Linked DNA regions of Nothobranchius furzeri. The protein of the gene in region 2 purifies or fractionates together with the protein of the main gene of each other region. This does not show direct contact. Links are inferred from orthologs where the notes say so. Each region holds a gene or a part of one and is shown on either strand. Other genes may lie near its edges.

Region 1 (8,576 bases), on a different chromosome or scaffold from region 2:
CCATTATCTTCAAGATCATGAGTGTGTTTAATGTTCAGGGGTCTCATTTATCAAACATTGCGTAGAATCCTTACTAAAACCATACTTAAGCTAAAAAAATATATACATACGCCAAGTAGGTTTGTGAGCTATCAAACATGGAGTGCGCACAGCTGCACGCAATCTCCGCTTCATAAATCAGAAACTATCTAGAAAGGTTCTCAGCTGCTTTTTAGTCACATCCCGCCCTCACCACGCCCACTTACTGCCATAAATAGTGCAAAGTGCCTTGTGGACCTCATGCATATACATAAGCCGACTGTTGCAGCGCTCCGCCAATGACGATGGTGACCATAAATCAAGGCAGATCAAGGAAGTGCAATTTCACAGAAGCAGAAATTGAAATCTGTGGGTGAGGTGGAGAAATGAAAGGAAGTACTTTTGCAAAACAAATAAGAGAAAATCCACGGAGTGGCACAGTGTTGCTGAAGCCGTCAATGTTGTGAATTCTTCAGAGAGATCTGTGGCGAATATAAGAAAATGGTCCAATTAGAATTTGATCTCCAGACTCACAGGTGAAAGTCATGCACGCTAACCAGTCACCCAAACAGAGATCTCCCTTGTCCAAGTAGCCAGGGCGCATCATCAATCGGGTCACAGTGACAGGACACACACTGTCACAGACGCATGACATTCTGTCTCAATCTGTCCCCCTGCTGATATTCTGCATTCCGTATTCTGCGCTTCAGGCTGTGTGTGTGTGTGTGTGTGTGTGTGTGTGTGTGTGTGTGTGTGTGTGTGTGTGTGTGTGTGTGTGTGTGTGTGTGTGTGTGTGTGTGTGTGTTTGAGTATGTGCGTGTGTGCGTGTGGGGGGTCTTGTTCTGTGTGAAAACGAAGCAGTACAAGTGATAATGCTGCAGGATTTCATGATTGTATCCTTCTCAGCAGGAGCACTGCAGGTGCTCTCCATGTCCAACATGTGGGTAAGCAAGGTCCTTAGTCAACTTAAAGTTGTGCACATATTTCCGCTAAGTTTTCTTTCATAAATCCCAAAGTTTGCATGGAAAGTTGCTTATGCAGTTTTCCGACCCTGTTTTGTGCGTAAGCAAGCTTGATAAATGAGGCCCCATTCTGTTTAGTTTATTGTATCTTTTATCCAGTTCATTTCAAGGTGCAGTGTTACAAAGGCCCATCTGTACAATTTCTCAGGTAAAAATAAAATTTCTTTTTAACAATCATGTCAACATTTGATTCACAACATTTTATGATCATTCTTTGCTTTTGGTCTTTAAAAGTTCTGGAGGGTGCTTGGAAGTTCACCCAACCGATTTAGAGACAGCGTTCAACTGTGTCCCTTCTGATATGGGCTTTTAGGTCCCTGTATGAATGGTGTCAGAGCTTGGTCCGCATTGCTGGCAACAACTTGTGCTCATTCTCAGTGAGAGTTGGACTCTGCCAAGGCTGTCCTTTGTCAACAGTTCTGTTCATAACTTGACAGGATTTCTAGGGATTTCTAGGGGATCTGTTTTGGTGGCCTAAGGATCAGATCTCTGCTTTTTGCAGATGATGTGGTCCTGTTGGCTTCATCAGAATGGCTTAAACCTAATATTTGCAGCCGAGTTTGAAGCAGCTGAGATTAGAATCAGATCCTCTAAATCAGAGACCGTGGTCTTGAGTCGGAAAAGGGTAGAATGCCTTCTCCGGGTCAGGGATGAGGTCCTGCTTCATGTGGAAGAGTTTAAGTATCTTGGGATCTTTTTTACGAGTGAGGGAAATATGGATTGGTGCTGCGTCTGCTGTGGGCCTTGTACCAATTTGTTGTGGTGAAGAGAGAGCTGAGTCAGAAGGCAAATCTCTCAATTTACTGCTTGATCTACATTCCTACCCTCACTTATGGTCACAAGCTTTGGGTAGTGACCGAAAGAATGAGATCGCGGGTACAAGCGACAACATTCTTTTGTGTATTCTGAAATGGGCTCTCCCTTGGAGATAGGGTGAGAAGCTTGGTCATATGAGAGGGACTTGGAGTACATTCGCTGCTCCTCCACATTGAAAGGAGCCAGTTGAAGTGGCTAAGGCATCTAGTCAGGATGCCTCCTGGACTCCTCCCTGGTGAGGTTTTCTGGGCATGTCCAACCAGGAGGAGACCCCAGGGAAGCCAAAGAACATGCCGGAGGGTCTACGTCTCACGGCTGGCCAGGGAACGCCTAAGGATTCCCCCGGAGGAGCTATCCCAAGTGGCTGGGGAGAGGGAAGTCTGGATTTCTGTGCTTAGGCTGCTGCCCCGCGACCCGACACCAGATTAGTGGCTGAAAATGGATGGATCTTCAATTAAAACTAACTTTTAAATCACACCAGTGGTCTTGTGTTATATAGTTATATGAACTTTGAAAACGACTTGTGCTTCTCATGGCTGAATTACATGGTTTTGCCAACTTTCTGTGTCACACTTTTTTGTGCTGCTGTTTGTTTGCGTCCTTGTTTTTTGGAATAATTTTGAAAGCTCTGCGTCTTCCACATAAGTTGTTTCCTGCCTGGGAGGAGAAGACATCCCACAATAATAAGCTTGCCTGTATTGTCGAAATAATAAAATTTTGAAAGAATAATCAGTCACAATAATCTCCATGGGAGGAAAATAATTAAATTTGCCAGTTTCAAATTTGGACTCGCCTATGCAAGAAGTAATGAGCAAAGATGAAGTGTTTTACTGCATCCAATTACAGCTACTGTTTGCCACTTTTGTGTTTCATAGGAATCAGATTAAAACATGATACACGGACCTTAGGTATTGAAAAAAGTGATGTGTACACTGATCAGGGCACCATGAGTCAGGGTCTGCTCAGTCTGTCAAAACAGAACCTTTCAAATGCACGAAAGAAATGATGACAGACATGTGCAAACGTATTCACATCAACATTTTTCATGTTTTTAAATCATTTTATTGAGCCAGTATGTGCTAAAATTACCCTTTACATGGTAATGGAATGTCACTCACACCCCCACCGCCCCTTCTGGCCAGAATATTGCACTTGCAACTTCAGAGTTGCTGGTCTGGTCCCTGTTGGGCTTAATAAAGTAGAGCTGACATGCTAGCCCTGCAGTCTGCTTCCAGCAAGTTTCCTGCATGTTTTAAATCGTGAACACAGCAGGTTTGTTTGATTTAGTGATGAACCACACTTGTAGATTAATGAAGGCTGAGGAGACATTTCAGCTGTTAAAGTGTTAAAAAGCCAACATGACGAGATAAGTTTCACTTTTGGTTTTTTACCAACGGACACAAGGGGACACAAGCCAAAACTGCTTGGGGTTAAAAAGGTCTCTGTTGAAGTTGTAGTATCAATTCAAAAGTACTGGTTTCAAAACAAATTAAATGCATAAAAATACAAGTAATGTAAATGACAAAAAAAAAGCCCAATATTGACAAAAGCTTAAGCTGTGCCATTCCACACCTGCACCCCAATAATATTGTTATATTAAAGGCCATGATGACTATATTGCTTTAGAAAAATGTTAATGTTGACAATTTTGGGATACACTACTAGGCTATCTGTTTCAGCCCTTTGAAAATTCATCCATTTCTATGCAATGCACGTTTCATGGGTTGGACTAGTTGTAAGTATTGTAATTGTGTAACAAGTCCAAATTTAAAAGGCATATTATCAATAATTATTATTGGAATGCAGCCGTATACTGTATTTATTAGTTCTGTCAACAATATGAACCATATAAGAACATACTTTTGTTCAACAATAAATCCAAAAAAGTAAAAAAAAAATAAAATAAAAATAGAAACGAAGTACAAAATGAGCAGAGATGAAGAAAAATGAGACTACATGTAATGAGACGATGAAATGGAAAATATCACAGAGCGTTGCAAAAAAAAAAGCTCAAATACTTTTAAAATACAAAATCTAAAAATACTATAACTGCATTTTGTGCTTTTTGAGTTTGTCTTCTTTTTCTTTTATACATCAGATTCCATGGACAAACATGAGTTCATAGAAGTTTTTAATTCTTATCTCAGACTTTTCTTTTGATGGTCTGGTCCCACCGGTACAGAAATTATCGGACACTGGTGAACTTTTGCTGCCACCTGCAGACAAGTGAGTAAAAACCAGTTCAAAGTCTAACTTCAGTATAAAATTAGCAGACGCCACATATTAATTATTATTTCAGTATTAACTATTCAATTAATGTGATATTTCATCTTAAATATATTATAATTAAAGGGTTTCAGATGGACCGCTCGGTGGTGTGCGCATGCGCACTCTCTCGGCCTGGGTGCATTGCTTTCTGAGCCAATCCAAATTTAGATAAACACAATATTACGTCATTGTTATTGTGTCCAAGCTCCAGCTGCTGCTTTCGGGCATTTCGCTTCCGTTAGACCTAATAATAGTGTAAACGTATAACATATTAATCAGCGAAATGTCGCATCGGAAGGACATTGCTTTGGACGAGAGTTTACAAGGTAAAGTTTCTGAAAAACCACGAGAAAAAACTAGCATAAACTAGCTAACGTAACCCTGGCTAAAGGTGGAGAAAAGTGAATGCTAAAAGGTTTAATAGCTTATGAAAAATGAGTGTTGTACAAGATATATGTGAAAAAACACTTCATAGGAGCTTTAGGGGATGAAATGTTCAGATAAAGACAGTGAGTGATGACGTCTGATTATTGTTGTCCTTCAAAGCTGTTTATCTCAACACCCTAATGGCTGACAGGCATGGCGTGTGTTTATTTAAAGGTTCGTGGGTTGAGCTGCACTTTAACGGGACTGGCTCTCAAGGTTCTGGTCATCGGGGAAGCCAAGAACAAATCCCCGGGTCCGTCCAGGAGGGCGACGTGGAGAAAATGCTGCTGGAAGCTCAACGTGAGTCAGGCAGGAACAGCTCCAAGGGAAGCTCTCAGTGTAACAGGTCTGTGAGAAAGGGGGAAGAGCTGTTGGTGTGTAATAGCTAGTTATTCATATAAAGTGTATCTTTTGTCTCAACCACAGCCCTCTGAGACCACAGACCCCCCTTCTACTCTGGAGAGGCTCAGAGGGAAACAGCTCACAGGTCAGTTGCCAACTGTTTTTGACTGAAAGCAGCTGAAGTCCCCCCCAACCGCTAGATGTCGCCAGATGACGTCACGTGTTTATTTACATATTGATGGCGTCATCACGCCACATTGGCGTTCATTTTCCCCATAGCATCTAAAAGATGTATATATATGTATATATATATATATGTGTATATATATGTATATATGTTTATATATATATGTATATATATATATATATATATATATATATATATATATATGTGTATATATATGTATATATATACATATATATATATACATATATATACATCTTGTAGATGCTATGGGGAAAATTAACGCTATCCATGCTACTGCTGTCTATCCAATATATATACATATATATATACATATATATACATCTTTTAGATGCTATGGGGAAAATTAACGCTATCCATGCTACTGCTGTCTATCCATGCTACTGTTCGACTTGTATCTGTAAGTCTTCACCTGTTTGTTAAGCTAATGTAATGGTTACATTGTCTGTATGCACGCTAAGCCGCGCTGCATTTATTTACCCATTTTATCGCATTGCTTAGCTTTGGTCTTCAGCCCATGCTGCTGCTTCACGCTGCCGTTAGCTTCCGCTCACTGAGCTTTGTATGTCGCCGCAGGGCTCCTTCATCCTTGTCAATAAAACCATTTGACATCGAGGAGTGTATTTCTTCATGAAGGAGCCAGATATAAGTCGAACAGTAGCATGGATAGACAGCAGTGTGATGGTTGAGCAGCAGTAATCCAAATGAGAAGCAGCAGTATGTACAGTGAGGGGTCCTCACATGTACGTGACTTCAGGCACGTCTGTGAATACACCTTTTTTCCTCGAGGCTTGATTGCAGCACACCCTAGTGGCCAGTGGTGACCTCTGCACTTTGTTGCTAATCTGTGGGGAATATCTACAAGAAAGTTCTACAGAAAGTAGAAAAGGGTCCTGAGAAATGTCTCTAGGTTTGTTGCTAGGCACTTTTTGGGAAAAAAAAGTCGTTGAGGGGGGTCAAAAAGTCGTTAGGAACAGAGACACAGTCGCTGAGTTGGCAACACTGTCACAGGTTGTTCATAGTTGTTATATTCTCTCTCTCTCTCTCTCTCTCTCTCTCTCTCTCTCTCTCTCTCTCTCTCTCTCTCTCTCTCTCTCTCTCTCTCTCTCTCTCTCTCTCTCTCTCTCACCCCCACACCCCCACACAAACACACACATTGCTTTAACAGTACTAAAGGCAAAGGTGTATTATTAATTGATGTAATCCACCATAGAAGCTTTATTCCCATTGTGCAACCGAATTAAACAAAAATAGGTTTCTGTATGCACGTATTGAACCGTCACCTTATCGTGGTGGAGGAGTTTAAGTGCCCTAATGGTCCTAGGAGCTATGTTGTCTGGGGCACTTTGTGCCCCTGGTAGGGTCTCCCATGACAAATTGGTCTTAGGTGAAGGGTGAGACAAAGAACAGTTCAGAGGATCTTTCGTGGATATACAATCAAAGAGTCGGGGTACCCGGCCCGGAAGGATACCGGGGTCCCACCCTGGAGCCAGGCCTGGGGTTGGGGCCCGTGAGCGAGCACCTGGTGGCCAGGCTTTCGCCCATGGGGCCCGGCCGGGCCCAGCCCGAACCGCATACATGGGCTCATCCAACTATGGACCCACCACCCGCAGGAGGAACATGAAGGGTCCGGTGTAGTGTGGATCGGGTGGCAGACCGAGGCGGGATCCTTGGCGGTCCGATCCTCGGACAACGAAACTGGTTTTTGGGACATGGAACATCACTTCGCTGGTGGGGAAGGAGCAGGAGCTTGTGGCAGAGGTTGAGCGGTACCGGCTAGATATAGTCGGACTCACCTTGACACATAGCATTGGCTCTGGAACCCAAGTCCTTGAGAGGGGTTGGACACTCTCCTTTGCTGGAGTTACTCTGGGTGAGAGGCGGAGGGCTGGTGTTGGCTTTTTGTTAGCCCCAAGACTCTTTGCCTGTGTGTTGGGGTTTACCCCGGGTAGCTTCCCTACGCCTTCGGGTCGGGGAACGGGTCCTGACTGTTGTTTGTGCTTATGGGTCAAATATCAGCTCAGAGTACCCACCCTTTTTGGAGTCCCGGGGTCGAGTGCTAGATAGTGCTCCATCAGGGGACTCCATTGTCCTGCTGGGGGACTTCAATGCTCACGTGGGCAATGACAGCATGACCTGGAGTGGTGTGATTGGGAGGAACGGCCCGCCTAATCTGAGCTCGAGTGGTGTTTCGTTATTGGACTTCTGTGCAAGCCGCAGTTTGGCCATAACAAACACCATGTTCGAACATAAGGATGCCCATTCGTTACACTTGGTACCAGGGCAGCCTAGGTCGCAGGTCGATGACAGACTTTGTAGTTGTATCATCTGACCTGCGGCCGTATGTTTTGGACACCCGAGTGAAGAGAGGAGAGGACTGGAGCTGTCAACTGATCACCACCTGGTGGTGAGTTGGATCAGATGTCAGGGGAAGATGCAGCGTAGACCTGGCAGACCCATACGCATAGTGAGGGTCTGCTGGGAACGCCTGGCAGAAGAACCTGTCAAGACGGTCTTCAACTCCCACCTCCGACAGAGCTTTGACCGCAGTGGGGGACATTGACCCCGAGTGGGCCTTGTTCCACTCTGCGATTGTTGAGGCGGCTGTTGCTAGCTGTGGTCGCTAGGTGGCCGGTGCCAGTCGTGGTGGCAACCCCCGTACCCGCTGGTGGACACCAGAGGTTCGGGGAGCCGTCAGGCTGAAGAAGGAGGCCTACTGGGCGTGGCTGGTCTGTGGGTCTCCGGAGGCAGCTGACAGGTACCAGAGTGTCAAGCAGGGTGCAGCAGTAGTAGTTGCCGAGGCAAAATCTCGGGTGTGGGAGGAATTTGGTGAGGCCATGGAGAAAGACTATCGATCGGCTCCAAAGAGGTTCTGGCAAACTGTCCGGCGCCTCAGGAGAGGAAGGCAGCAACTCGCTCACACTGTTTACAGTGGGGATGGGGAGCTGCTAACGTCAACTGGGGCTATAGTCGCTCGGTGTAAGGAAGACTTTGAGGAGCTCCTCAATCCCACCTACTCGCATTCCGAGGAGGAACCAGAGCCGGGAGACCTGGGGATGGACTGTCCAATCTTGGGGGCAGAAGTTGCTGAGGTAATCAAACAACTACACAGCGGCGGAGCCCTGGGGGCGGATGAGATTCATCCTGGGTATCTCGAGGCTATGGATGTTGTAGGGCTGTCATGGTTGACACGTCTCCGCAACATTGAGTGGTCATCGGGGGCAGTTCCTGTGGAGTGGCAGACCGGGGTGGTGGTCCCCATCTTTTAGAAGGGTGACCTGAGGGTGTGTTCCAACTATAGGGGGATCACACTCCTCAGCCTCCCTGGAAAGGTCTACTCCAAGGTACTGGAGAGGAGGGTCCGATCGATGGTTGAATCTCAGATTGAGGAGGAGTAATGTGGTTTTCGTCCTGGCTGTGGAACTGTGGACCAGCTCTATACCCTTGCAAGGGTGATGGAGGGGGCATGGGAGTTTGCC
Region 2 (8,576 bases):
TACAGACAATAAAGAGCTTTATCACAATATGCTAATTTTTTGAGAAGGACCGTATATATACATACATACACACACTGATCATCATAAATGAGTACACCCTCCTTAAAATGTACAAATTGAATCAGCAGCTCAATGAACAAAAGGGCAATTTCCAGAAGTTTCCCAAGGCTGGGTTTTATTGAACACTTGTTTAACTCCATAACATGAAGCTAAGGTTAATAATATAACTTAGATCACTAAATCTTCAGTTTTACTAAAATTGGTTGAAGTATAAATGAATACACCCCACAATAAAAACTACTACATCTAGTATTTTGTATGACCACCATGATTTTTAAAAACATCACCGAGTCTTTTAAGCATGGAATGGACAAGTTGGCGACATATTGCAACATCTATCTTTTTCCAATCTTCAAGAATAACCTGTTTTAGAGCCTGGAAGCTGGACGGAGTGTGATGCTCAACTTGCTGCTTCAGAATTCCCCACAGGTGTTGGATTGGGTTCAGATCAGGAGACAGACTTGGACATTCAGTAACCTTCCCCCTGTTCTCCTTCAGAAATGCAAAAGTAGCTTTAGATGTTTTGGATCAGTGTCGTGTTGGAAAAGTGCAAAACGACCAAGTGCACGTAGTGATGACAGCATCTTCTCATGCCAGTCCTCTGCAGTGTGCGCCAGATGGTGTCACGGGAAATGGTCACTCCAGTTTGGCTTTCTACTGCTTTAGCTAACTGCAGCAAACTTGCATGACGATTCTCTTCAACCCTTCTCATCAGAAGACACCCTTGTCGAGATGTTAACTTCTGTGGACGGTCTGGACGTCTCTGTAAGATAGTCGCACTTTCATCGTTCTTACTTGCTTGTCCCGATGTTCTGGCCCGAAGGTTAAATGTTTGGATGACCTTTGCTAAAGTATTGTGACTGATATGTAAAGCTTTGCTGATCTTCTTGTAGCCTTGACCATTTTGGTGTAAAGAAATTATTTTCTTTCTCTGATTTTCTGACATTTCTCTTCCATGTGCAGCCATTGCTGACAGCATGAAATGGGAAGGGCTTTTCTTTAAGTAATGCCCGTTTATAGTCACCTGTCTGCTGGACACCTCTTAGATGAATCACTAGACTCGCCTGTGGTTTGATACCTGTTTATTAGAAGTTGTAGTCTTAAGTGTGGCTTTTCTCCTAAGACTATAATTGGGGTGTACTCATTTTTGCAACATGGGCTTGAATAGACTTCTTAGGAAAATCACTTTTTTTGTGTGTGAAAATAAACAAACCTTGTTTGTAATCAATGGGCCATATTTGTGGAGTGTTTTGTAGTATGGTGCCTTATAGAAAATGTTTATTCTGAAAGGAAACTAAAGGTTTTCTGACAAATGTAGCGGGGTGTACTATTATATATATATATATATATATATATATATATATATATATATATATATATATATATGTATATATGTATATATGTATATATATATACATATATATATATATATATATATACATATATATACATATATATATATATGTATATATGTATATATGTATATATATATACATATATATATATATATATATATATATATATATATATATATATGTATGTATGTATGTATGTATATATAGTGCGCTGACAAAAGAAGCATCAATGTGTTTGTTACCTAACATCGGTGGGTGGGTTCTGTGATAATGGGTTGTGCGAGCAGGCCATGATCTGGACAATGGCTCCAGGGTAGTAAGTCTCAAACACCTCCACGGCTGTTGGGTAGACCGGTTCCTCAAAGCCCAGCTCAACATAATCCTGGCTGTAAAAATCTTTTGGGGTACGTCGGAAAGGTAGTGGGGCACTGGCACACTGCTCCCACCAGGTTCCATAAGCTCTGAATACAGCTGTCTGGGTGAAGTCCCCTGAGCTGGGGTACACGTTGGGCACCCCAGCCAGGTTCCACATGGTGTAGGACATGCTATTCTCACTACCATAGTGGGAGCTGAAGTCCAGGACCTCCTTGGCGTACTGCTTCACCTCCACACTTACTGGTAGCACCGCCCGCTGACCGGATTCCACGGCGCGCCGACTGGTCAGAGCCTCGCCTCGAGTCCCGCTCCTGGAGCGCCGCCGCAGACAGATATAGTAAAACATGCTCAAGAGGGTTAACATGGGGGCAGACGGGAGAAGCTGAGCTTAGACGGAGGAAGAGCCTCCAACTAGCACATCGTCTCTGGGTTGGTTAGTAGCCTGGCTGCATGCATGACCTGTGGGTTAGGCAGAGACAAACAAAAGTGAGAAGAGCAAAACATCAAGTCTGAGAGAACACAAAACCTGCTTGGCCCTGAGATAAACCAGGTCATAAAACTCTGAAAATAAGTTAAAAAAAAAAAAGAAATACAATGTCAGGCAATATTGTTTTTAGCAGAAATGGAGGCTTTGCACATTTTAAGTTTAAATTTACATCTGTAGCAAAATTTGTTCAGAATGTTCTGTCAGTCAAACTTTTATTAAATCCAGATGCAAAAATGAGTAGAGTTTATAAAACTTTAGTGTCAAAAGCATGATGTTTTGCCAGAGCTGTATTACTTATTTAGCTAAGCATTTATGTGATTTCATGCAAAAAAAAAACTCCCATTAAAAGGAACTCTCAAACTGCTTCTATTAAGAAACTCTTCTGAACAACATGGGACTAGTACATTCTATTTAGTACAAAAAGACCATTACCACCGGTAGTACAGAAAAAGTCATTTCCTAGTTCCACATTAAACCCGTAATTTTACATTTGAAAAATCTGTATTCTCATTAAACGCTTTTAAAATGATTACGAGTGTCACCGATGTTTTTACTTTTGTGGAATCTAAACTGCAGATCAGAAAAGAAAACGGATGTCTAAGATTTGATAATGTAACTCAGAAAAATTCAGTAGAATAGAAATCAAGTAGTTAGGTTGGCAATTTTAGTAGAAGTGGTCTGTTCTGCAAAATGAATAAAACTATTTTATTTATTTCTGTAAAATAAACTAGACTCAAAAGCCCAAATGAGCAAAAGCTTGCAGCGGTTTGTGTGATGAATCCAACCCAAAAAGGGGTGAGAACTAAATGCATTTACCTTTGACACCCCCTCAACACGAGATTTTAAGTGTGTTCCCATCTATAATATATACATATATTTTGTAAATGCCACAATTGACCTTAAAGCTAACTTGTATTCCGCAGGGTTTTGAATAAACTCGAGACAAACCTGACTGATTCTACTCGTCATAACCTGTAGTTTAACAATAAGGGGGGAAGCTTTTTCAATAAAATAATAAACCAAACACTAGACAATTACTACTTACTAAAGCTGGTGATGTTTTATAACTGTTTAACAACATTAGTTAAATTTTAACTGGTGACCTTACACACACACACACATAGATAAGAATCACACAGGAGTGTGATTGGAGTAAAAAAAAAGGTTAGTACGAAAATTGTGATTCAATATAGTTAAGGTGATGTTATTTTCTGAGGGCAGTTAGGTTTTGTTACTTTATCCAAGTGAAGAACAAACACTAAAACAGCTAATAGTTAAATAAACTAGTCAGATGGCAGAGGGTCTCCCACAGATATCAGCTGTTTAAGTGTGTGAGCTAATGTTATGCTAGCTAGCCTAGCTAGGCTGTCAAAGCATGAACTGTTAGTTACCACTAGTTAGCTATAAAACACCAAATTTAAGCGACGGCATATAAATAAAAATTACGTTAAAGGCAGGTCGATATATCCATTCATGAGAAGCGATCTTCCTCTATCATGAGGCTTGATCAGGGTATTTCTGACCGCAAATAATGCCTTCCAGTCAGTCGTTTATTTCGTGTTGCCTTCAGAAGCAATCGGACATTGTCAAACGTTTGATAAACATAATCAACCAAACACAAATCATGTCATTCGATTTTAAATCCGATTTCAGCATGAATAATGAAGCAAAAGATAGCACCATATGACTAACCTTGACTCTAAAGGGGATAACGAAAGCGGTCATTTCAGTGTTACTGCTTGTTCTCCTTTGTAATACTGTTGAAACTAATCACCATCAATTACAATTACACGGATAAGTTTAAATATTATTTAGAGGAACTCTTAGAAACATAAGCTATGTATCTCATTTGAAACTGAGTAAAAAGTCAAATAATATACAATAAAAACGTCTACTGTTTCCAAGTTACGTACCGTAGCTCCCTTAAAGGCCACACGTTTATCGCGTGTGCTCGTTGTTCTCTAAACGCAAAGCATTATGGGAATAGTATTTCATTGAAATCAGAAACAGGAAGTACATTTTTTAACTACTTGAAATGCAACCTACGTGTGTGTATATTATACAATCAATGACTGTAACTTAACAAAAAATATATATTTACTATTTTTAACCCAGTTTATTTATTTTTATTTTCAACAAGTGAATCTAAACACAATAATGGTCATGTTAACCAAAATACACAGTTCAGTGTTTAGATTATTTTATTTCCTTGTTATTGTTAACTAGCTGAAATAAACTTTAGTTGAACAATATATCAACAAAAGTACAGGACTGTTCATAGACCCTACACACATTCAATGATGATGACATAGAACAAATACAATACCAGGTTATAATTTATAAAAGGCGTACGACTAATTTAAGTTTGAATTGCAGTTAAAAGATGGTGTAAGACCAACATTTTGCATAATTATGTTTGGCAAATTTTGGGATTAATTGCGTGTCTGTTAAAATGTGCTAGACCTAATTACCGGTATTTGAACTGAATGCTGAACTTATTCTAAGAATGCATTTATTCCCCACTCAAACATGCAGATTTCAACTCCTTGATAACTAAGACTCACACGGATCATTCAGCTTCACATCCAGCATTGTATTTACATTGTCAAGCCATTCTGTTTCTGCTATGCACTAAAACCAAAATGACCCAGCCTTTCCACACAACAGCATAAAACCAATGAGTCCAGCTCTTATTAGCAGGCATCGATTGTGAGTGACAGAAGATTATTACCTTTCAGTAAAAACTCTCGCATGGCATCAACTTTGGAGCTGCTTGGATATTCTTAGAGATGAAAACACATTCACTGTGTAGGGTTTGAGAAATTGAGTGCTTTAAGAGCTCAATATATATATTACCTCTACTAATGACCAATAAGTAGTGATACTCTATATAAATATAGAATATCAACCTACTTGGTCTTTACCGTGTTTAATCAGAAGATTCTAGTATTCTTTGTTTTATTCAGGGATTGTACACACTTCGTTTTGATTCAGAAAAAAGTCAGGTTTATAAAAGTAAGAATTTATTTTACAAACAATTAAAACATAACAGGTTAACTAGCATTTACTCTGAGTGGATGGATCTAGATGAAGCAGGTGTAGTGTATGGTGCCTATGTGTGAATGTGATGTTATCAGAACTTCCATACCTAGGAGAGCTGGGTTCTGGGTGTAAAGAATTTGTTTTGTGTTAAGCTAAGATGTTGATTATTATCAAAACACATCAGACGCAATCTGTGTGTCTACTTCACCCCTTCTCGGAGACCCTCTTCATGGATCCAAAGGTCAGAGAGGTCAGATGACCTCTGGCACCAAGGGCTGTAGAATACTCTAGCACCGACATTTCAGTCCAGAGATGTCTCGGGTCATGACAGATGGATGGAACTGCACGTCTGGCAGACTCTGAAGGAGTCTGAACAATATCATCTTGTTCTGCAGGAACCGTTTGCTGTATCAGCTTCGCAGGTGCAAAAAGATTTTGACGACGTGTCAAAAGCTTTAATGGGTTAGAGAGGTGTTGCTTCAGATGGCCGGTCTGAAGCTTTTCTCAAGAACTGATGAATCACCAGAGAGATCCAGTTTTAATGTTCTCATGTTATGATTTGTGTAGCCAACCAGAGGTTGACAAGTTGAGGAATGTTAGCAAGACAACTCAGAAACACGCCTTCTTGGATCTGGATGCTCTGATCTGGGGTAAAGGACTATCTATGTGTCATGAGTTTAACTTAACCTTACTTTGTCCTTGTGTGAGTGCAAATGGTGATGACTTTGTCATATTAACATGCTGAAACATATATCAATCACTGTAATCATAACATAACATTCATTTCAAACTTCAATCACTCAAGCACAGATTAATGAAAACATTTCATTATGTTATAAAAATATTATAAGTAGCAATAAACAAATGTTTATTTAATGATTATTTAACTTACAAGTTTAAAAGTTCATATTTAATTTAAGAAATCATTCTTTGATTTAGCGACTAATCCGAGCTGCGAGTGTTCACTTATTCAGAGGCACGAAGAATCCTGCAGGGCGATAAGCGAGGCCTTGAGCCTTGAGGAGAGAACATCATTGTTGGCAATACGTTATCGTGTGTTCAGAGCTGCAGAGAGGCTCTGAGCTTCAGCTGATGGGATGAAGACAGACAGAATAAAGGGAACACGTGCAGTCTCGTGTCTCCATTTTGACCAGATGTTGAAGGGTCAAACTGTACCTAAAAACTGACCATTGCTGGACGTTACAACTGTAAACTACATCAGCCAAATTTTGTCTGTGAATTACAAGCAACCAAGTTATTTCACTTTTCATTGAGTTGTTCCCATTGAATAACTTCCCTTTGACATGGATTCATTATTTCTACTGCTGCTTGGCCTGTTTTGGCAAGAACAGATCCCTCGTTCAGCACCACGTGTTTCTTAAGCCCCATTCCCACCTGTACCGGGTCGGCCCGGGCCGGGTAGCCCCAGTCGGCCCCAGCCTGGCCCGGTTGATTCCACACATCCTTGCCTTAAGCCCATGTGGGCTGATTCTACCCACCAATCAGAGGCTTGCTCTAATGGAAGGTGTGAATGGGCTGATTCTACCCACCAATCAGAGGCTTGCTCTAATGGAAGGTGTGAATTTGCTGTCAGCAGTGGGTGTGTTGGCCCTGGTCGGCCTGAAGCAGTACCCCTCGGGAAGAGGGCCGAGAATGAGCCTTGGTTGGCCCGGGAAAATTCCAGGCCACCCAGATATGTAAACAACCTATGCTACCCGGCCCGGGCCGACCCGGTACAGGTGGGAATGGGGCTTTAGCATTTCCATACCAGCTTTTCACATCTGTCTTGTTTGGTCTCCACTGAAACTGTCCCCCACAGCAAACACTGCATCACATGAGAGAAAAAAGGCTGAAATCACACTCAGATGAAAAGGGTATAAACAGATTTAGAGTTAACAAGATAGTTTAATGTGAACAGGGAGCTAGCGGCGTGCTCAGTGATTGACAGACTAGGCTGCTGTCAGCTCCTCCTGGCAGGCATCAATGAGCAGCAGCCCTGCTACTGTCAGAGCTCTGTTCTGGTCCAGTGTGCCACCCATAATATATGCACATGGCTGTGCACACACAGATGCAAATGTGGCTGGACGCGCAGATCAGTGCCAGCACACATACACGTAAAAGACACACACACATTAACATGCCTGTCCATGCACTGGTACACCCACTGTCCCAGTGCAATGCCCCAGCTGGTAAAAGCCAGAAAAATAATAAGTCTGCTCACCCAGCCCCGCCTCTTTTTTAAATTTATTAACTTATTTTTTTTGCCTAGAAAGAGGATATTCTAGTTATTGCTTGTATTGAACAGTGTCTTTGCTTTTCTCCCTTAAACACACAATGGTCAGTCGACAAGGGAAAACCTCTCATGAGGTCGTGAAAATATCATGTTTGTTTTTTCTTCATTTTTAAAACCTTTTTGCTGAGTTTTTCATTGGAGCTATCCACTAATCAGCTCAACCCACAAAGGCATTTTCTTACAGACGTGGCTTCATTCAGGAGGAAATAACAATTAATTTCAATAGCAAAATATTTATTATCAAGGAGTCTTGTTATAACAAAGAAATTATCGAATCCAATCCCATTTTATAGTTTATAAACTAGAACCTGAAAAATTATTCTGGAAGCTTTACTTTTTTCAATAGATTGATCACAAACTTTCCTTGATCTGAATCATCATGAAAGGTGCAAACTGCTTAAGTTTAATTGTGTTATTCTAATTAGTCTGGAACATTCTGCAAAAAGAAGATTTACACCTATCAGACCTCAAGTTTTCCAACTTCTTCTGCACAACCGGCATTTGTGGGTGAAGCAGCAACAGATTCAGAATGTCTGTTGGTTTGAGCAACGATTTACACAACAGGTAGAAGATGCATCTTGGATTAAATGTAAAACAAATCACCAAATGTAAACAAAAAAACATCAACATTTTTTATATCAACATTTATCCATGAACTACAAAGATAATATATTTCATGTTAAACTGTGAAAGGAGCTGTAAGCACGGGACTCTCATGTGCATAATCAACTCTAGCACACCGCTGCCTGCCTGAACCAATGCAAATGACTACATTTGGAAAAGATGTTTTCAAACAGATCTCATCACCATTCAGAGTGGAGTTCTTGTATAACTTCAGCTCTTTAAAGTCTAATTGATTCAGACACCAGAAAACTGAGTATTTAAATCTGATTGCAGTTTAACTTTCTAGGGCTCATGACAGAATCTGCAAAATAATTACTGCTGCAAGAAAAACCCAGCTAAG
Region 3 (8,576 bases), on a different chromosome or scaffold from region 2:
AGAAAATGTAACACATGCTCTCTGAACAGGTTTTATTTACTCCTTCAATGTGGATTTCCTCAAAGTTTCCAGTGTCAAAACATGAATCTGGAACTCGCTCTGCATGATGGACATCGTTCCGCCTTCAAACTGCTCATTTTTATACACAAGTTCACAAAACCGATACATTTACAGAGCAAAAACAATTCACCCTCCTGTTTCCATCGGCAAAAAAGTGAAGGTTGTTTAATTATCTAAAAGAAAACATTGCCATAGAAAAAAGAACAAGGATACGAAAAATGTAGCTTTTTATGTTTTAGAGGGAAATACAAAGCCATGAAACCATGAATATAATTATATTCATGAGTGGAAACGGTAACAAGCGTTTCAGCTTTAAATTAATGACACCATACAGGTCAGAATTAAATGTTCATGCTTTTATTGGTACACAGAAATAATAAGCTGGGGGATGGTAATTATACTAAAATATTAACAAGTATGAACATCGCCAGTGCAACCAGTTACAGATCGTTTCAGTGTGGTAGTGTTGGCAGCATCTTCCCTTTTACTTTTCTTCACACCACTGGTTCTCTTTGCGTACCTGTGGACAAAAAGCAGTTTAAAAGCTTTGTTTTCCTTGAGCATCACTTTTGAGGACTTTTTTTTTTTTTACCTGGGCTTCCTCCTCCTCCGTGAAATCGTTTTTGATGTTGAACGTCTTCCTGATCTCCTCTGGGGTTTTGCCTTTGATCATATTGGCCACCGTCTTGCAAGTGACGTCTAACAGGCCTTTGATGTCCAAATAGTTGGCGGCCTGAACAGAAAATAAATGACATTCGGATGTGGAAGATGCTGTGAGATGGCACAAATGCCTCTGATGAATAAGTAACTTTAATGTCTAATATAGGAACTATGAATAAAAGTTTTACATCAGTAAAGCTGGGCCAGTTAGCGTTAGCATGTTAAATACAGAACTATTACAGGGTAACTGCAGGTTTAAGGGAGTCAAATTTAAGACTTTTTAAGACCTTTTTAAGGCCACTTTGACCAAATTTAAGCTATATTTTAAAATTCAATTTCTGCTATAATTTCCAGCTATTGCCTGGAACCGGTGCTAACCACATCGCGAACGTGGGATTAGCCATCCAATTACCATTAAACTTGCACTTCTCCATGGCGTAAGCTCCCACTAGCTTAATCAGCTAATGTGCTCATCTAAAACTAGCCCCCTTTCACAACCAACTGAATGTGTACGGTTCCGCTTACGCCAACATTGTACACAAAAAATGCTGAACACTAACTGGAAATTCACGAAAATGTCATAGAAATGAAATAATCTAGTTTATTGGGTCTTTGGTAATTTAAGACCTTTGGAAACTGTATTTAAGGATCATTTGTCATTTTTAAGGATTTTCAAGGCCTTAAATTTGGAAAAGTAAATGTAAGACTTTTTAAGGACCTGCGGATACCCTGCATTATCCAAATCTGCTTCCACTTCATTAACAAGGAACTTTTTATACAACTTAAAATCAGCATCTGTCTCTTTTACTAGATGTTGCTAAGCAACATTTGTGTTTTTGGTGATCAAATCAGACCACAAAAAAGACAGAATTAGGGATGTCCCGATACGACACCGATTTCAATACGATACCAGCACAAATCATACTTTTACCTATTCCGTAGTGTGGAATGTATGAAAGGCTTGATGAAGTGATATTACTCAATCGGAGAACAAGAGCCAATAACAGTAAGTATGAAAAAAAATTTGACCCTTTTTTTAAACCACTGGTCGCAAAAATGTGAACCTTAACAAACTGCTTATATTGGAGATTTATGATGCAGTCCGATATAATCCAATAGTGTTTTTGGGCCGATAATGAATTGCTTCTGATATCGGAATGGGACATCCCTAGACAGAATACTAGTGATGCACCGATATCATATATCGGCGATATGAAATTTTTTGTGCCGATACCGATATTGGTCGATATCGATATACTGGCATTAATGCTTCTAAAATCAGCAGATTTTGTATAGAATGAAAATTATAAATTATTAAAGCTGGATTTACATTATTATGTACACACACCACACACATTTATGGTTCTGAAATGATTTCATTCACTGTTCACAAGACTAAATTACACATCACCCTCTGAAACAGGCAAACAAATGGGGACAAGATGGAAAAATATCGGTTGTTAATATTGGCCTGGTTTTCTTTATTGAACAGATATGTTAAAAAATAGCTAACATCAGCCGATACCGTTATATTGTCCATCCCTACAGAATACCCAATTACACAAAACTTGACAAAAAAAATTTTTTTTAAAATAATCATCAAACGAGGACGTTTGAAGTAACGGGTGTAAATAAAGATCTGGATCGGAGTTAAGAGAAAACAAGCACTTATATCGTTTGAAGAACATATTCATGGGGCTTTGGGACATTCTGACGTGTTTCTGTGTAACACATCAGTTTTTATCTTACTTCTTGTAGACAGCTTCCTGAAGAGCCTCAGTTTGAAGAAAGTGTTTACGTTTTAACTAATGATGTGCTAAAGCTAATCCAAACACAAGTGGATCGCTAACGTCTCCAAGCTCCTCTTATAAACTACATTTCAAATCAGTTCACATGAATAATTATAGCTGTACAATACAAAATAAGTTGCCTTTTTAAACACTTATTTTATTTATAGTAATGTTTACAGTGAGCGCATTTTAGGCTGAGTGTTATGGAGAGCTGCGGCGAAGAGGTCGGCTGCCAATCAGAATTTGTAGCAGAACTATAAACTATGTGTAATATTTGCAAAAACAACAACTTTTCTGGTTTTGCCTGACCCAAACTTCTAATAATGACCTAAAAACAGAGAGGACATTTTTTCCAGTTGATTCAACCTCAAGAGTTAAGAATTCTGCTGAGGGGTGAAAATCTGTTTAAGGGGTGCGGGAAAAGCATCAATTTCAATGTAGCTAACGCATTTAGCAGCAAAATAAGAATAATGTTTAATGAAACATATTTACCAGAATGAGTTCAAACAAGGTGCCTTGGTCCACTTTGAGGAACTCCTGGTCCCAGACGGGAATGTCGTCCGTCCTTTTCTCTTTGTTCTCATCATCCTCGGGAGGAGGAGGATCATCTTTGTGATGAGTGCACCACTGAATCACCTAAAGGGGAAAACATGTTTATTCTTAACTGAAACTACATAATTTTATACATTCGTGTTAAGATTTACGCAGACAGAAACATGTGCACAACATTCCCCCGTGATGAAGGAATTTTGAGATCTTCTGCTGAGGTGCATCTACACGTACAGTTTTACCTTTATCTGGATTAAAGGAGCGTGTCAGTTGATTTGGCAGGACAGAACATAACAAAGACAGACTGAGCATCCTCTTAATAAGTTATATAGGGCTGCCATGATTAGTCGACTCGTCACAACATCAACAAACAAAATACTCGACTACTAATTTAATAGTGGATGCATTATTTATTCTGTGACCATTAATTTTAATCTCGCCTGCTGCGGCACATTCGGCGGTTGCTTCCTGACTTTCTGCTCAATGCACATGCGCATTAGTCCCCATCCGGGTCAGTGGCTGTTTTCAGCTCCGAGGCGCATTCGCAGTAGTGGCCATCCAGATCAGCCTTCGTCACCGGAGAAAGAAGACATAGCGAGTCGGCAACATAGCTCAAAAGTTTTGGAGTATTATACATAGACTAAGGAAAGCACATAGTGCAAACTCTGCAAAGGGAAACTCTCCTTTCACGGGAGCACATCGGCGATGCATGAGCACCTTACAAGGAAGCACGTCATGGCAGAGAATAAAGAGTCGCCTCTCTAAGTTTACCTCTTTAGCTGCTAGCATCAACAGAGAGTTACTTGTAGTTATAGGTGTAGCAACAGCAGTAGCGGTGGCTATTTTTATTACCATTAGATCACGTTTGTATGTCACGTATTTTTGCTCCAATTACAAACGATAATGATTTCATCCCGCTACGCTACAGTGTTAATAAAAATGCTCCTCTTCAATGGACGAGTTGGTTACGTGAACACCTCAGCAAGCTAACGTCCTGACCATGTTGGTCATGAGACTCCTGTCCATGGTCGGTGATCGAGGTTTCAAAAAGATGATCAAGGATACCACGACAACTACCTACCAGGCTGATGCCCATTCACCAGCATGATGGAAAAGAAATACGAAACAACCTTTAAGGTGTGCGCGCGTGTTCAAGTCTTAGTCTCTTTCTCTCTGGACACAAATAATTATTGGAATTTAATGTGTTTTATGATCAAATAAAAAGGTTGCTGACTGAGCAATCAGGAACCTAATATTGGTGCATAATACAGTTTACATGTGTTGAATTTTAATCTACTTTGTTTTATAACAGAATTATTAATTTGGTAAATAAACTAAATTTAATATCTTTACAATAAAGCAGACCCTCAAAGCTGTCGATGATCCCCTGACTGCTGACGGGTGTACCAGCCATGCTACAGAGGCGCACCTTGATGTGCCCTGCTATTTCCTGAGTTAAGATTAGAATACATTTTGCGAACACAAGTAATTTTTTGTAGACAATTTATTTTTGGTTTTAGGTGCCTACCTCCATTTGACTGTAGCATTTGTATTAATAAGTTATGAAGTTAATTAAAAGTTTATTATTAGATGGCACATAACGGATTAAACTTCAAACTAGAAGCTAATGATGGGTATATTAGAGCAGCCTGGTGCAATAACCTATAGTTTTTTTTTTGAATGACACGATTAGTCAACTATTGCGGTATACCCAACTGTCACGGTGAAATCCAGAAATCAAATAAAAACCAATCACTTTTCTCCCATCGACTGATGTGAAACAAATCTGATGACTCTGCTGTTGTCATTGTGACAGCTGTGCGTTCTGTACCTTCTTCAGGATAGCCGCGTTCACATTAGGAAGGGGAACTGGGTCATCATCTCCTTCATCGTCCATTCCCAAGTCTGACCACACACACAAAAAAAAAAAACGTTAAAATTCAGCCTCAACCCAAACGATCTTTACTGTTAATTAAAAAAACTGATAACTCTTTTTACGTCAGTTATAAACTCACAAAATCAAGTTTGAACGTTTGAAATGAACAGAACATTTTACCTTCCAACATGGTCTTGATGGTGACGGATTGTTTGGCTATCTCAACGTCTACCTCGAAAATTTCCCCATCAGAACTCTGTAGTTTTATCGTGGGCATTTTCTGGAATGAACAATAATATTCATTCAGTGCATTTACTGCTAATTTTGCGACAATAGCAGACGTAATCCGCGACGAATTGTCTCAATTACCAAACTAAGCTAGCAAACAACAAGCTAACGAAAAGCTAACATACAATTAGCTCTTTGTATAAACAAAAGCTATTGATTTGATAAATAATACCTATCATAAGACTTGCCAGATGCACTTGTGTGTTCATACTGAATAAATACCACCTGTTGTAAATCTAATTTATTTGAGAAGCGCTAATGCCCAAGCTAACGATGACACAAGCTACAAGACGGAAATGCTAAAGTTAGCTAGTTTCCGTGTGCTTAAAAGAAAAATACATTGAAAGATGTTCGCTATTACAAATAATGGTAAACAAATACATGTTAATCACAGGCGAGACAATCAATTGTGTCTAAAATGTATGTCACAAAGCTTAAATCTTGACTCTTCGTTTCGCCAGCTCTTTGCTGTCAGCTAGGCCTCTTTGCTACATCATCGAGGCGTTTCAAATTGACGCATAAACCTGACGTGAAAATCTATTTAAACCTAACTTTATCAGGTCACCAGAACATGAAGCTACATACCGTGATTATTTAACAAAAACTCAAAGGTTATATATCCTTAGGAGTCCGTTGGAAGGCCTAGACTTTAAGTGACGAACAGCGGCTAAAAGCCTCTGGATCAACCTTTTCCGCTGTATGGCAATCCGTTGTAACATATAATCATGTTAATGCCCTACAATTTTTTTATTTGTTCTAAACAAAACAGCATTTTCATTAATTACATTTAAAATGTCTGTACAAGTTAAACCGTGATATTATTTAATTCTTGCAGAATACATTATAAAGTAAGGTGATCAAAACGTGCCAAACATAAGCTATTAAACGTAAATACGTATATGTCGATGGTAAATACCAGTTGTCTTGTCCCACAGTGTATATTTAGTAAGGTAGATACTTAACAACACTTAAAAGCAAGCAAGTGCCGATTTCCTTTAAACAACCCCAGTACAATTCCGATTTTATATGATAAATTGGCTTCCCTTAACAACATGTGCTAATGAAGGGAGCACAGCAGGGCCGAGCTCAAATCGTGGCGGTGGCTACCAGTCAGCATCGCTTCTTGTTTACCTAGCTCAGATTTTATTTTGATTGTCTCATCTCGAACCACTTTGATTTTAAATCAGAATTTGTGTTATAAAAAGACAAATACTTTGTCTACATGGAACAAATAAGCTCTTTTGTGATAACAGTGACTTGTCTTGTGCTATTCTATTTTTTTTAATAAAAATAAAATGATCACTTTCTATGTGTATCTTTCATTATAAATCTCTCTGTCAGTGTACCAATAACAATTTAAAGTACATGACTCCTTTTGACAACAGACTACACAAATCATTCATTTATTGTATATGGCATGGTGGTGCGGTAAGAAAAATTTATGTCATATATCAAATACAAAATAATATTTAAAAATATTAAATTTAAATATATTTATTTTTGAAAATGTGTAAGTCTAATTTATTAGTTACACTTTGTGAAGAGATAACAGGAAGCACTAGGGTCAGTGCCTGCGATTGTCTATGTGTGGTGTCGTGCCTATTCACAACCACAGGGTGGCGTATTTCCCCTTTTTTCCGGCAGATGCGACTTGTTTCCAGCAGGATCCAGGCTGGCTTAGATTGCTCTGGAAAAACTTAATAAAATTGCATTTATGCGCCTTTTATTTGAAATAACACAATTCTCAACATTAAGTTTGCTTGTTTTGGGCAATTGATACTTCTGTTCTCAATACAATCTAATATTATGGAGCACAATAATTTAAATTCACATTTAAATAAATGTATTTTTTATGTCTTCGCCTTGCTGTGTCAGTGTAATTACAACTGGCCAGAGAAATCCAAATATAACTAGACTTTTTACAAGAATGAAGAATAACCAAAAACACAATTCAAGAAGTCATCTTTATTATTCTAGTAGGTTATTATAGAGTCTGAAGCTAAAAGGAAGCAGGTGAGTTGATGAACACTCCATCTTTTCTATAAACCAAGCCATCTGACTGCATGAGAAGGGATTTTCCTAAAACATACACAGGTCAAAAAAAACTGAAGGTTTACATGCAATTTAAAAATAAACAACAAAAAAACTATCAATATCGTGAAATCGTATTAATCTTTTTGACATATTTAACATTTCTTTAACTGTACAAAAGTGCAAACAAATCACATTCAAATCTCAAAAACCATGGTCTGCAGTAGCAAATTAGTCTTGGACTTTGGTGCCGTCAACCCAGCTCCATATGTACAGGAGGAGGAGCCGAGACATCCAGGATGTTCTATTTTGTCATTTCAGATACAATAAATATTTAAGTGATCATGGCACACACCTTTTGGTCCGTTTATAGACACATTTGCTTTTGCGAAATGCTTTAACTAGATTGGATAAACACAACGTGCAACACTGCAGCCTCTCAGGCCTCCATCACGTTGTTTTCAGTTCAAAGTCAGATAGGTTGGTGGTTCTGGACAGGACCGGACCGGACCGTGCGCGGGTCGAGACTGCAGGTTTACAAGAAGTAGTCTGGGGTGCGGCGAGTTACATGGGGCTCTCCTCTGCGAGGCGCTGGATCAAACTGCAAGCTGAGGAGGAACATCAGGAAGAAAAAAAATCACAACTTATTCTAAGATTTCTTTGTCCACTCGTGATGAAATTCGCCTGCTTACAAAGAGTATTTGAGGGTGTCGTCTAGCTCCATGATGGCTGCCTGGTTTCCACAGCGATAGCAGTAGTTAGGAGCACTAAAAATGGTCACCACGTTCCTCTCATGGCACCAGTTGTAGCCCTGAGGTAAGCAGATGTAATATTAACACGCATCTGAACTTAGCGGCACTGCTTCTTTGTTTTTAATCATCTTTGGACACAAAGACAAACCTCCATGACCAGCTGATGGGCGCGGGACACCAGCGTGAGGCGGTTGGCGTGGTTGAACGTTTCAGAGATGTCCTGACCAAATGTGTAGCCAGCTCCTCGGGGAGAGATGCCCCAGCCGCCGCGGTCGTCGGGGTCTGACCACAGCAGGTCGCACATGGGACCCTGCGTGACAACGAGAATGGTCACAAACGTTTTTATCTTTATTGTTTCGTTGCTGATCTGCACCACATTTAACGTCTTTCTTTACCTCGTGCGGCACTTCCTGTAAACGATCCAGAGCTCTGATGTGATCCAGCGTGTCTATAGACGGTGATAAGCCCCCGTGGAGGCAGAAAATCTGAGGAAAAAAAATCGATAATTATAACAAATTATGATGCTTTTCAAAGAAACGTCAAGTTCGGTCTTTTTTATTACGCTCCTCT

What was found.
Region 1: the proteins of fbxl4 (region 2) and bnip4 purify together in Homo sapiens (affinity purification with western blotting; 4 studies listed by BioGRID, with this or other methods). This does not show direct contact. The link is inferred for Nothobranchius furzeri from reciprocal best matches to the Homo sapiens genes FBXL4 and BNIP3.
Region 3: the proteins of fbxl4 (region 2) and skp1 purify together in Homo sapiens (affinity purification with western blotting; 9 studies listed by BioGRID and IntAct, with this or other methods). This does not show direct contact. The link is inferred for Nothobranchius furzeri from reciprocal best matches to the Homo sapiens genes FBXL4 and SKP1.

The regions. Positions count from the first base shown.
Region 1 is NC_091752.1:32,882,429-32,891,004, reverse strand, and holds the start of bnip4 (BCL2 interacting protein 4), read left to right. Parts: upstream 1-4,255; 5' UTR 4,256-4,407; coding exon 4,408-4,450; intron 4,451-4,724; coding exon 4,725-4,896; intron 4,897-4,976; coding exon 4,977-5,037; intron 5,038-8,576. UniProt on the Homo sapiens protein: Apoptosis-inducing protein that can overcome BCL2 suppression. May play a role in repartitioning calcium between the two major intracellular calcium stores in association with BCL2.
Region 2 is NC_091745.1:52,310,710-52,319,285, forward strand, and holds the start of fbxl4 (F-box/LRR-repeat protein 4), read right to left. Parts: upstream 4,241-8,576; 5' UTR 4,191-4,240; intron 4,143-4,190; exon of another isoform or gene 3,724-4,142; intron 2,250-3,723; 5' UTR 2,155-2,249; coding exon 1,658-2,154; intron 1-1,657. UniProt on the Homo sapiens protein: Substrate-recognition component of the mitochondria-localized SCF-FBXL4 ubiquitin E3 ligase complex that plays a role in the restriction of mitophagy by controlling the degradation of BNIP3 and NIX mitophagy receptors.
Region 3 is NC_091750.1:60,006,436-60,015,011, forward strand, and holds skp1 (S-phase kinase-associated protein 1), read right to left. Parts: upstream 5,954-8,576; 5' UTR 5,809-5,953; intron 5,216-5,808; 5' UTR 5,213-5,215; coding exon 5,116-5,212; intron 4,965-5,115; coding exon 4,891-4,964; intron 3,147-4,890; coding exon 3,003-3,146; intron 794-3,002; coding exon 653-793; intron 581-652; coding exon 545-580; 3' UTR 18-544; downstream 1-17. Other genes in the region: ppp2cab (serine/threonine-protein phosphatase 2A catalytic subunit alpha isoform), read right to left, coding at 7,790-7,862, 7,947-8,065, 8,155-8,316, 8,402-8,491. UniProt on the Homo sapiens protein: Essential component of the SCF (SKP1-CUL1-F-box protein) ubiquitin ligase complex, which mediates the ubiquitination of proteins involved in cell cycle progression, signal transduction and transcription.